2 linked regions of the Saccharomyces cerevisiae S288C genome follow. The protein of the gene in region 1 binds, or shares a complex with, the protein of each later gene. Each region holds a gene or a part of one and is shown on either strand. Other genes may lie near its edges.

Region 1 (4,249 bases):
ACGACCGGATGAGGATGTAGATGAGATGCATGAAGTACGGGATCCGAATTTACCAAACCTTGGTTTTGCCTTAGATACTGGTAGGAGCTATCGAAAAAAGATGTTGCAGTTTTCTTTTGAGCGGCGGAACGATGATAACCTTTAGAGTATATGAATGATTTGAAAGCCATTTTCGTTTGTGTATGCTTGTTTTTTCTTTTCTGTTTGTTGTAGTCTCTATAAATTTAAATGCACTTATCTTTTTATGCAAAAAAAGCTGGGCGAGTTATTTGTTTCTATATTTGTATAATTTTTTTTTTTGTGAAGATGAATATAAACTGACAAAAAATTGTGTCAGAGTTGAAGCTATAGCTCCTTTTATGATGTGTCTTGGTTCTTTGGGTGCGATATTAGGGAAACAACGCACAGCAAATTTTCTTCTGCTTTCTTATAACGTTATAAACAATCCTGTTGTCTTGGTTTATTATGTGGAAAACTTTTCACGGATCAATTTTATAAAGCATACAACTAAAGAGAAAAGTGTAATATGGACGAACGAGAGACAACTTAATCCATGGATTTGTAATTGACGTGTGTATGATTCGAGGGAAACTGACAGTTTTTGCTTTGTCATGGGGGAATTGTAAGGCACACCGAGTCTCGGCCCCGAGTGCCTGGCCAATGAGAACGCGCGCATTCGGAGCTGCCCCACTTTTTGTGCGCTCTTGCATTTCATTGGTTAGCCGGAGGAATTCGGCGGTTAAAAGCGGACTCGAGCGGAAATAAAGTCTTTGCTTATTGTATGCCAGGAAAAGCTCTACAAATCTACTAAAAGAGTCAAATATACAGCTTTGCCAAGCGTGCGGCATAGGGAATAACAACAAATTGGAAATGTGCGGCTAGCGTAATCTTGGTATCTACTACCGACTCTGAAGAGTTTAGCGGGCTCTCAGACGGTTTTTTCGCTTTTGGCATTTTATTCAGGTAGCCTTAGATGTTAAATTTTCCATGGCATCTTGCGTAAAGCCTGCTAGGTTCCTTGCCACGTATAATTGCGCCGCGAATTCTGTGATAAATATATTGTAAGATTTTCTGTTGTCTTGGAATTGCTCTCTCTTTAAATAATACTTTATATGTTTACCCCAATTCTTTGCCGCCGAAAGGTCAGCGTTGCATTACGTGGTGTCCGGTCGCTATTTCCTGGGTTTTCTGCGGCAGATTCGCACTGCGCGCCACAGCTGCAACAACTGCAGTGTTATTTCGGGTGCCAATTTAGCGTGCTTCGATCTAACTATTCTGTAAATTCTGTAGTGACTCTTTAGGGCGAAGTACGTATTTCATGATTTAAAATCCCCGTCTTCAAATATACCGAAAAAAGAAACAAGACATTTTTTAGCAGTTTATGTACGCATTTTAAAAGCCGGGAAATGCTTCTTGTTACCCCTTTTGGCGCTTTGGATAAGTAGTTCACTTAGCTATTTTTTTTTCCGGTTCGAACTCGGGGTGAGGCTTTATCATGCACTTTTTTTTGGCTATTATTAATTTTCGCAGCCTTAATTTTTCCCTTTCCATTTTCTCGCATGTGGCGGTTTTCAGTATTACTTAGAGATGCCTTAAATAAATCTAACAGGCAGGTATACCAGGTACGAGTTAAAAACCTTTATCAGGTGGCCGACACTAGGGAATAAGACAGCATGGAGCGGCCTGGCTTGGTATTGCAGGACCTTCCACCCGAAATCCTGATAAACATCTTTTCTCACTTAGACGAAAAGGACTTGTTCACGTTGCAAGAACTTTCTACGCATTTCCGGAACTTAATTCACGATGAAGAACTTTGGAAGAACCTGTTTAAGTCTAGAGTTCACACGACTCATTTCCCCACATTTTCTCAGTCTTCGAAATTTAGTGTAGAGTATATTGAAAGGACACGGGGTCTTCATCATTGGCAGCATAACAAGGCTATAAGAACCAAATACACAATAATTCCGACGAGAAACTGGGATCAGCCCAGTATAGAACGCATAGTGTTTGATTATCCACGAGTTGCAGCTTATAATGATGGTACCATTACAATTTTACAGTTACAAAATCACAAAAGGCAGAAGAAATTTAAGAAATTGATTTATATTCCATGTACAACACCACAAGGTTGTTCTACCATGGACTTCAATATTAATGCTGCAGTGTTTGGTAGGTTTGACGGCAGAGTGTTTGGAAAACTGCTAAGTAACAAATCGTACTTAACGCCCGTGATGGAATTTACGGGAAGGCATAGTGCAGGCGTTACTGCCATTTGTAATTCAGAATCCTGGGACACGTCAAGAGAGGACTGGTCTGTTAGTGGCTCTGAAAACGGTGAAATTATATGGTGGTGCGAAAATAAGCTTGTTAAGATGTGGAAGGTTTCTAATAGGGTAATTTGGAAACTGGCTTTTTTTAAAGATTGGACCTTAATTATGGATGATGAAAAGCTGTACATTATCCATCAAATGCAGGAATTGCACAGTATTGATATTCCTAAGGATCTGGACGAACAGCCTATGAGGGTACGGTTTTTCAAGATGGATTTCGGTTCCATGACTTTGGTACTTGCTGACCTGAATAACGTTTATACAATATCGGTCAATCCCAATGGTAACTTCGGCAATTTGAGAAAGTTGGAGATGCCTGAACAAATATGCGCAGTTGAAATAGATGAAAAAACTTCTCAAAGGGAACAAAACTGGCAATTTGCTGGTGATGACGGCTGCTATATCAGTCTTTTGACGACACAGAACACTTTATACATTATCAATATAAGAGATCTTTCTTCGTCAGGCTTAAAAGTTCAATGTAAGATAAGTTTTGATGAGCAGGTATACGTATCGCAGGTGACAAATTTAATAGTTGTGGTAGCATTGCCAAATGTTCTTCAAATATTGAACGCGATGACAGGCGAGTTAATAAAGACAGTGTTGAAAACCGAGAAGTTTCCCGAATTTTTGAAGGTATCGCAGGATAAAATCATTATGGGAAGCGGTAACGTTTTGAATTATTTAAAGTTTGTTTCAAGTGATTCAAAGAAACATCACCATTCCACTAAAGGTAAAAACACAGTAAGCAATAAGTGGAATGAAACTTTGAACACGGAGCTGCAATATTATGATGAAGATGAAGACCTTAGAAGAAAAAGACAGTCAGAAATATCAAGATTGATCGATGCGTATGGTGGAGACCTTGAACTTTCAGGCGACACCGATGAAGAAAACGACATTCAGTTGAGAATTGCACTCTTAGAATCACAGGAGGCGCAAGCACGGAATCAAGCTGAAGCGGGGGAGCCTGTCGGAGATGATGAAGATGAGCAGTTAAGAAGGGCGCTGGAGGAATCTCAACTGATATATGAGACGCAAACGAATAGCTCTGCGAATCATGGTAATAATACGAATGATGAGATAGATGAAGATGATGAAGAGTTTCTCAGAGCCATCAGACAATCAAGAGTGGAGGACGAAAGGAGAAGACATCTTAGAAATCATACTACAGGTCGACGAAATGGGCCCTTGAGCGACGATAATTTTGCTACATATGGTGCAGCAGAGTCATCCGAACGAACCTCAACTGAGAACACTATCGGTAGTTCTGTTGGCGTTGATGCTAGTAATAATGTTGATGAAGACTTACAATTGGCCATTGCGTTGTCATTGAGTGAAATCAATTGAAAGTATGTACATTTGGAAGAGCATATGTTAAATATTTTATTTATAGATTTTTCGTTGTGAAATATTATTTTTTTTTTTTTGAAAAAAATGTCGGACTTTATTCCTCCTAATTATTAATAAAATACGAATATATATCTAAATATAATTAATGCTTATTTACATGAAAAATCATCAATCGTAAACAGTTGATTAAAAAACAAAAACTTTATCGGTTCCATTACCTTTGTGAAACCCATTACTCCACCCCAACTCCTTTGCATAATTCAAAACCATTTCATTCATTTTAGGTGGTCCGCAAATCAATAAACGATGGTCCTCCGCTTGTTTAGGTAGGTATCTTTTCATTTCCTCTAGAGTTACGTACCCAACATCACCGTTCCATTTACCGTTTGGCTTATGAATTACATAATGAACTTTAAAATGCGGGTACTCCTTAGCCATGTGGTCTAGTTGCGATTTCATGAGAATGTCATCCTCTGTTTCGTTTGCGTATATCAAAGAAATGTGTGTTAGGTCTTCTGGAGAGGGTATGATTTCTTGCAGCACTTGCAATACAGGGGTTATACCAG
Region 2 (4,595 bases), on another chromosome or scaffold:
CAACAAGAAGAAAGATAAATTTTGAAATCTGTTGCATATATATATTAGTATATAAGAGACTGCATGAAAATGCGAACAAACGCATGCTCAACACCACTCATGCGCAATATCGTAGAATCACACACAACGAGAACGATCAGCTTGGCATCTTTGCAAAGTGACTAATTTTCGCTGTTCCACCACTATCGCACATTGCGCGACGTGATTTCTACGCGGATTTCTTGGAGCTGGTAGCTGCTGGTGACGATTTCCAGCGGAATTTCAACTCTGCCACTGACTGATCCTTGTTGTCAGTCTCATCATTTCAGCCTGATCTCTTCTCAAGCAGGCCGAAAAGCCGCCCGGTAAAGGATGTTACAACGGAAAGAGAAGTGCCATATCTTCATACTATGAGATTCTCAAGAGGTCAAAGACTCTTCATAGTTCAGTTGAATACACACAATTACACACACACACATATATATATATACATATATATATATATATATATATATATATATATATGTATACGCTTATGTATTTACTCGTAGGATTTGCTTCGTTCGATCAGCACAAGCCTTCAAAGATGATTAAGCAAGGTAAGCATACGATTCACCATCGTCTCCCCTCTGTAGGTATCCCTTTTGTATTAAGCTATCGATGGCTCTCTTGACCATAGAAACCTTTGCATTGAACCTTTGGTGTGATTGCGCAATGCATTCGTTGACCAATGTTGTATGTGGCAGATTTCTTTTCGCTTTCATTATTCTCACAATACAAGCTTCCAAGAAAATCTGCCTTTCTGTATTCAATTCTTTTTCTATTCTTTCGTCTTCCGTCAAGCGTTTGTTTCCTAACTTATTACCGTGATTATCGTGGCCTCCACCGGATAGCGATTGCAGAATGTCGTTTTTGACTCCGCTAGCGAAATTAATATTGGTCTTAAGCGCCTTATAAGGACGTGATAGCTTGAATTGTGTTTCAGGTTTCACGAGAGCATCTAGCCCTGGTGGGACCTGTTGAATCAGTTTGAATTTGATGAATGGTACCATTGCCGCTGCGATGTGCTGAATGGTTAAGCTCGTGCCCTCTTGAATATTTTCTAAGGTTAATACATCAGCATCGTTATATAGTAGCAAAATTGCCATTTGAAACAGTGTTACCGTAAAGTTGAACGGCATCCTGCCGGGTTTTCCAATATCTGCCTTCAATTCGCCACGACATAATGGCCATAGCCACTTCAATATTCTACCATTATGCTTTTGGCTGTATGACTCCTTCAATTTTTCGTGAGATGGTACCAATTCCTTGGGTAGCTTAAATTCAACTTCTTGGTATGAAAATGGCCACATATTTTCTGCCAATACAAATGGTTGTAGATCTGGATATTTTGCTTTAGAGTAATCTGGTTCATTCTTCAGGGCGACAGCAAAATCGTCTTCCAAGATCTTGGAAAGTCTAATATCTTGAAACATTTTAGTTATCTTGCCTGTATATTCCATACTATTTGCCGCTTGCAGCCTTTGAATAATATTTTCTTCGTCTTCTGCTGATGTTGAAGTGCCATGAATTAAACGCTTGGCGAAAAGTCTTCTATAATGAGTTTCGAACGCATCTTTGTCGGTCAAATATTTGAATATTGTTATAATATCTTCATCTGACATGTCACTTGCCACTTCAGGTTTGGTGGCCTTCTTTAATAGTATATCACTGTACTTAGCTAGCATCTCGGAAGTCTTCGAGGTGGCACTTTTTGGAGATCCAGCAGGTAATGCGAACTCGTTGATGTTGATGAAAGCACCACACGCATTATCTAGAGCTTTAGCTAAAGGTATGTCGTCGGGGAAACTTTCATTAAAAATCTTAGAGAATATATCGTGTACTTCCAGTAATTTCTTGATATAGTCTTTAGGAGAAAGGGAGTGAGCTGTCATTAGTGCTAGTTTTTTAGGGTTTGCGTTTTCGTTTTTCATAATATTGTGTTTATGCATTGCCAGTAGACTCGAAATTTCATTCTCACCTGTCTTTTTAACATAATTTTCAAACACTGAAGCCATTCTTGGGATTAATGTAAAGTCTCTGCGTATTAGTGCGTACAAAGAAGTAATTTTTTCAATATCTCTGGCATCCAGAAGGACAACAAACTCATTTTCCAACTTTTCAATATGGTCTGTGATCAAGACCTTGTTTAATGCCATGGATAGTGGTTTTTTTGTATGATCATCCCAATATATTGTCATTGCTTTTTCCTCACGTTTGATGATTTCATGTGCTTCAAAAATATACTCAGTTACCGAGTGTTTCTCTAAATAATCGTTTGTATATTGCGTGTAGTACTCCTGAGTCTTCTTTAAAAATGGCTTTTCGAAAACTTGGATGTAGACATTTAGGTTCAACTTTTTCAAATCCTGTGGATCGATACCTAGTGCAACTAAAGACTTTATGGCAGTGCTAATATTACTTCTTTGAATTATTTGCCCCTCCCTTCCCAAGGTTACCTGGTCTAATAATTCGTTTATTAAAACATCTTTACTCGGATCAAACATGACTTCTTTCCATGTCATCAAGCACAAGGTGTTTACATCAAAAATATGCCTTTTGCCGTCACTTCTTTCCTTTTGAACCCAATATCTATTCATATAATCGAATGCATGGTTTAAAAAAATGGCACCTATTGTAAACCTTTTCCAGCGCTTGACGTAAAACTGCAAAAAGGTCTCTGAATTAGACTGCTTAAAATTTAAAATGTAATTCTTCAAATAATTCTTTAACTTTTCGTAAATCTCACTGCCAACCAAAATTGTTGATTGGCCAGTTCTACTGTCAGTACTAAAATGTCCAGACGAGCGTGATTTGTTCACACAGTAGTTATAAATTGCGGTATAGACTTCCATATACATGGTTGGAGAAAGAATTTTGTAAACTCGCTTAGACGTGGATGCTTGGTTTTTCTCATTACCCAGTATTTGGTTAATTCCTGGCTCTATAAAGTTCCAAGTGGCCTCTAAATCATCAGATCTAGGCAGAGTCTCAGACATGCTTTGCTGCTTGCGATTTTGTTGTTATTCTTTGTTTAGGTATATGTAAGAATCCTTTCAAGACTCAAAAATGTACGCTTATTTATCGGTAAGTAGAAGCAATGTCGAATTGCTAAAAGAAATGTGTAACTGAGGTAAAATGTAATCAACAATGAAAGGGGTGCACAGAAGTTAGAAGATGCGGATGAAAAGCTCTAAAAGAGAAAAAGGACAATATAAAAGAGCAGTGATATGAATCAATTGCGTTGTAAAGTGAAGTTCTGCTGGGGTACTTTACCTAATGCCCTAGTTTTTCTAGATGTTCTATTTGCCACATTTCACTTCATGTGTGTCCATCAAACATCGAAATGAAAAAGGGCCCTTAAAACGGAAAGGAAAAGAAAGTGCAATAGCCCTCCCTTCGGGTAATACATATTATATCGCACAAAGCCTAATATAATCAAACCCGCCGTTAATGAATAAATGCCAAGCCGGAGTAATTTTTTAAGTCAAAAATATACAATGCATATAAATGTCAATCTTGGTATCTAAAAGAATTCTTTTAATTTCTATATTTGTCGAGCTCAGTTTCTGTTGGTAATTGAACTGACTTTTTCGACTACTCTAACAATACTGATCGAGAAAGTGATTACCCACATAAACAAGGCAACGAACAGAAAAGCGGATAAAGCTTCCTGTTTTCTGCAGATACGCGGTATTTTTGGGTATCCATACGTGCTTCCATTTGACCTGCGAATAGAAGTGCAAACCCACTCTTTGTCGAAACGAGTATTAAATGCCAGCGCTAGATTAGCGCTTGAAAAAATTATAAAAAGTAAGTCCAACAAAATTAGTTTCAGTTTGCTTAACGGATTCCTCAAACCAACAGGTTTACCAGCAAATTCATCGTGTGCAATGTAAATAATATACGCAATCGCCACGGCGTTGACGCAGATGGCCATTATGGTGCTTGGTTGTTGCCCGATTTTACTTTCACTGATGGTGTTATTTGATCTTGAGTTTTGAAAAATCTTGATTGCCAGAGCAAGTGAAATGCACGATAATATACCAGTGAAAATCCTCAAACCCAAAATCAAATATTGATTATCAAGTAATAGCGACGTCAAAGGAGGTCTCCACTGTTGTAACTTCCTTTGCTTTAACCTCCGCCACTTTTCTCTCTCTTTATTGAGCTCATTTACCCAATCTGACTTGTAAACTTTGTTGTGTACTGATTCGGGTGATTCTGGGTTCTTCTTATTATCACCGTAATAGAAATCTTTTACCTTTTCGATATATTGTAACCACTCTTTTCTCTCTTCTGTCGTGTTGAACTCTAAATTGGCACCTATTTCTGAATGTAGAACACCTTCTAGTCGTTCTTCACCTCCCCACTCGCTGCACATGTCACCTAAAATTTCTCTAAGAGCCGCATTTTTTGATGAGGTAGATGATGATAGAGAGTAACCATCGTAGGATTTGTGACTAGGATTGTAGTTTTGGTCTCTAGTGTATGCAGAATGACAGCCGATGGTAGATGCAAACTGGCCCCATTTAAACTCTTTTGGAAGATTTTTATCATCGGTAACATTTCCATCA

The links. Proteins that work in one complex are often made in the same cells at the same time.
Region 2: UFO1 (region 1) and CDC53 share a complex: the UniProt entries of both Saccharomyces cerevisiae proteins name them as parts of the probable SCF(UFO1) complex.

The regions. Positions count from the first base shown.
Region 1 is NC_001145.3:90,562-94,810, forward strand, and holds UFO1 (SCF ubiquitin ligase complex subunit UFO1), read left to right. Parts: upstream 1-1,673; coding exon 1,674-3,680; downstream 3,681-4,249. Other genes in the region: RPM2 (ribonuclease P), read right to left, coding at 1-170; AIM33 (cytochrome-b5 reductase), read right to left, coding at 3,870-4,249. UniProt on the Saccharomyces cerevisiae protein: Substrate recognition component of a SCF (SKP1-CUL1-F-box protein) E3 ubiquitin-protein ligase complex which mediates the ubiquitination and subsequent proteasomal degradation of target proteins. Probably recognizes and binds to phosphorylated target proteins.
Region 2 is NC_001136.10:222,726-227,320, reverse strand, and holds CDC53 (cullin CDC53), read right to left. Parts: upstream 3,018-4,595; coding exon 570-3,017; downstream 1-569. Other genes in the region: SRF1 (phospholipase D regulator), read right to left, coding at 3,581-4,595. UniProt on the Saccharomyces cerevisiae protein: Core component of multiple cullin-RING-based SCF (SKP1-CUL1-F-box) E3 ubiquitin-protein ligase complexes which mediate the ubiquitination and subsequent proteasomal degradation of target proteins.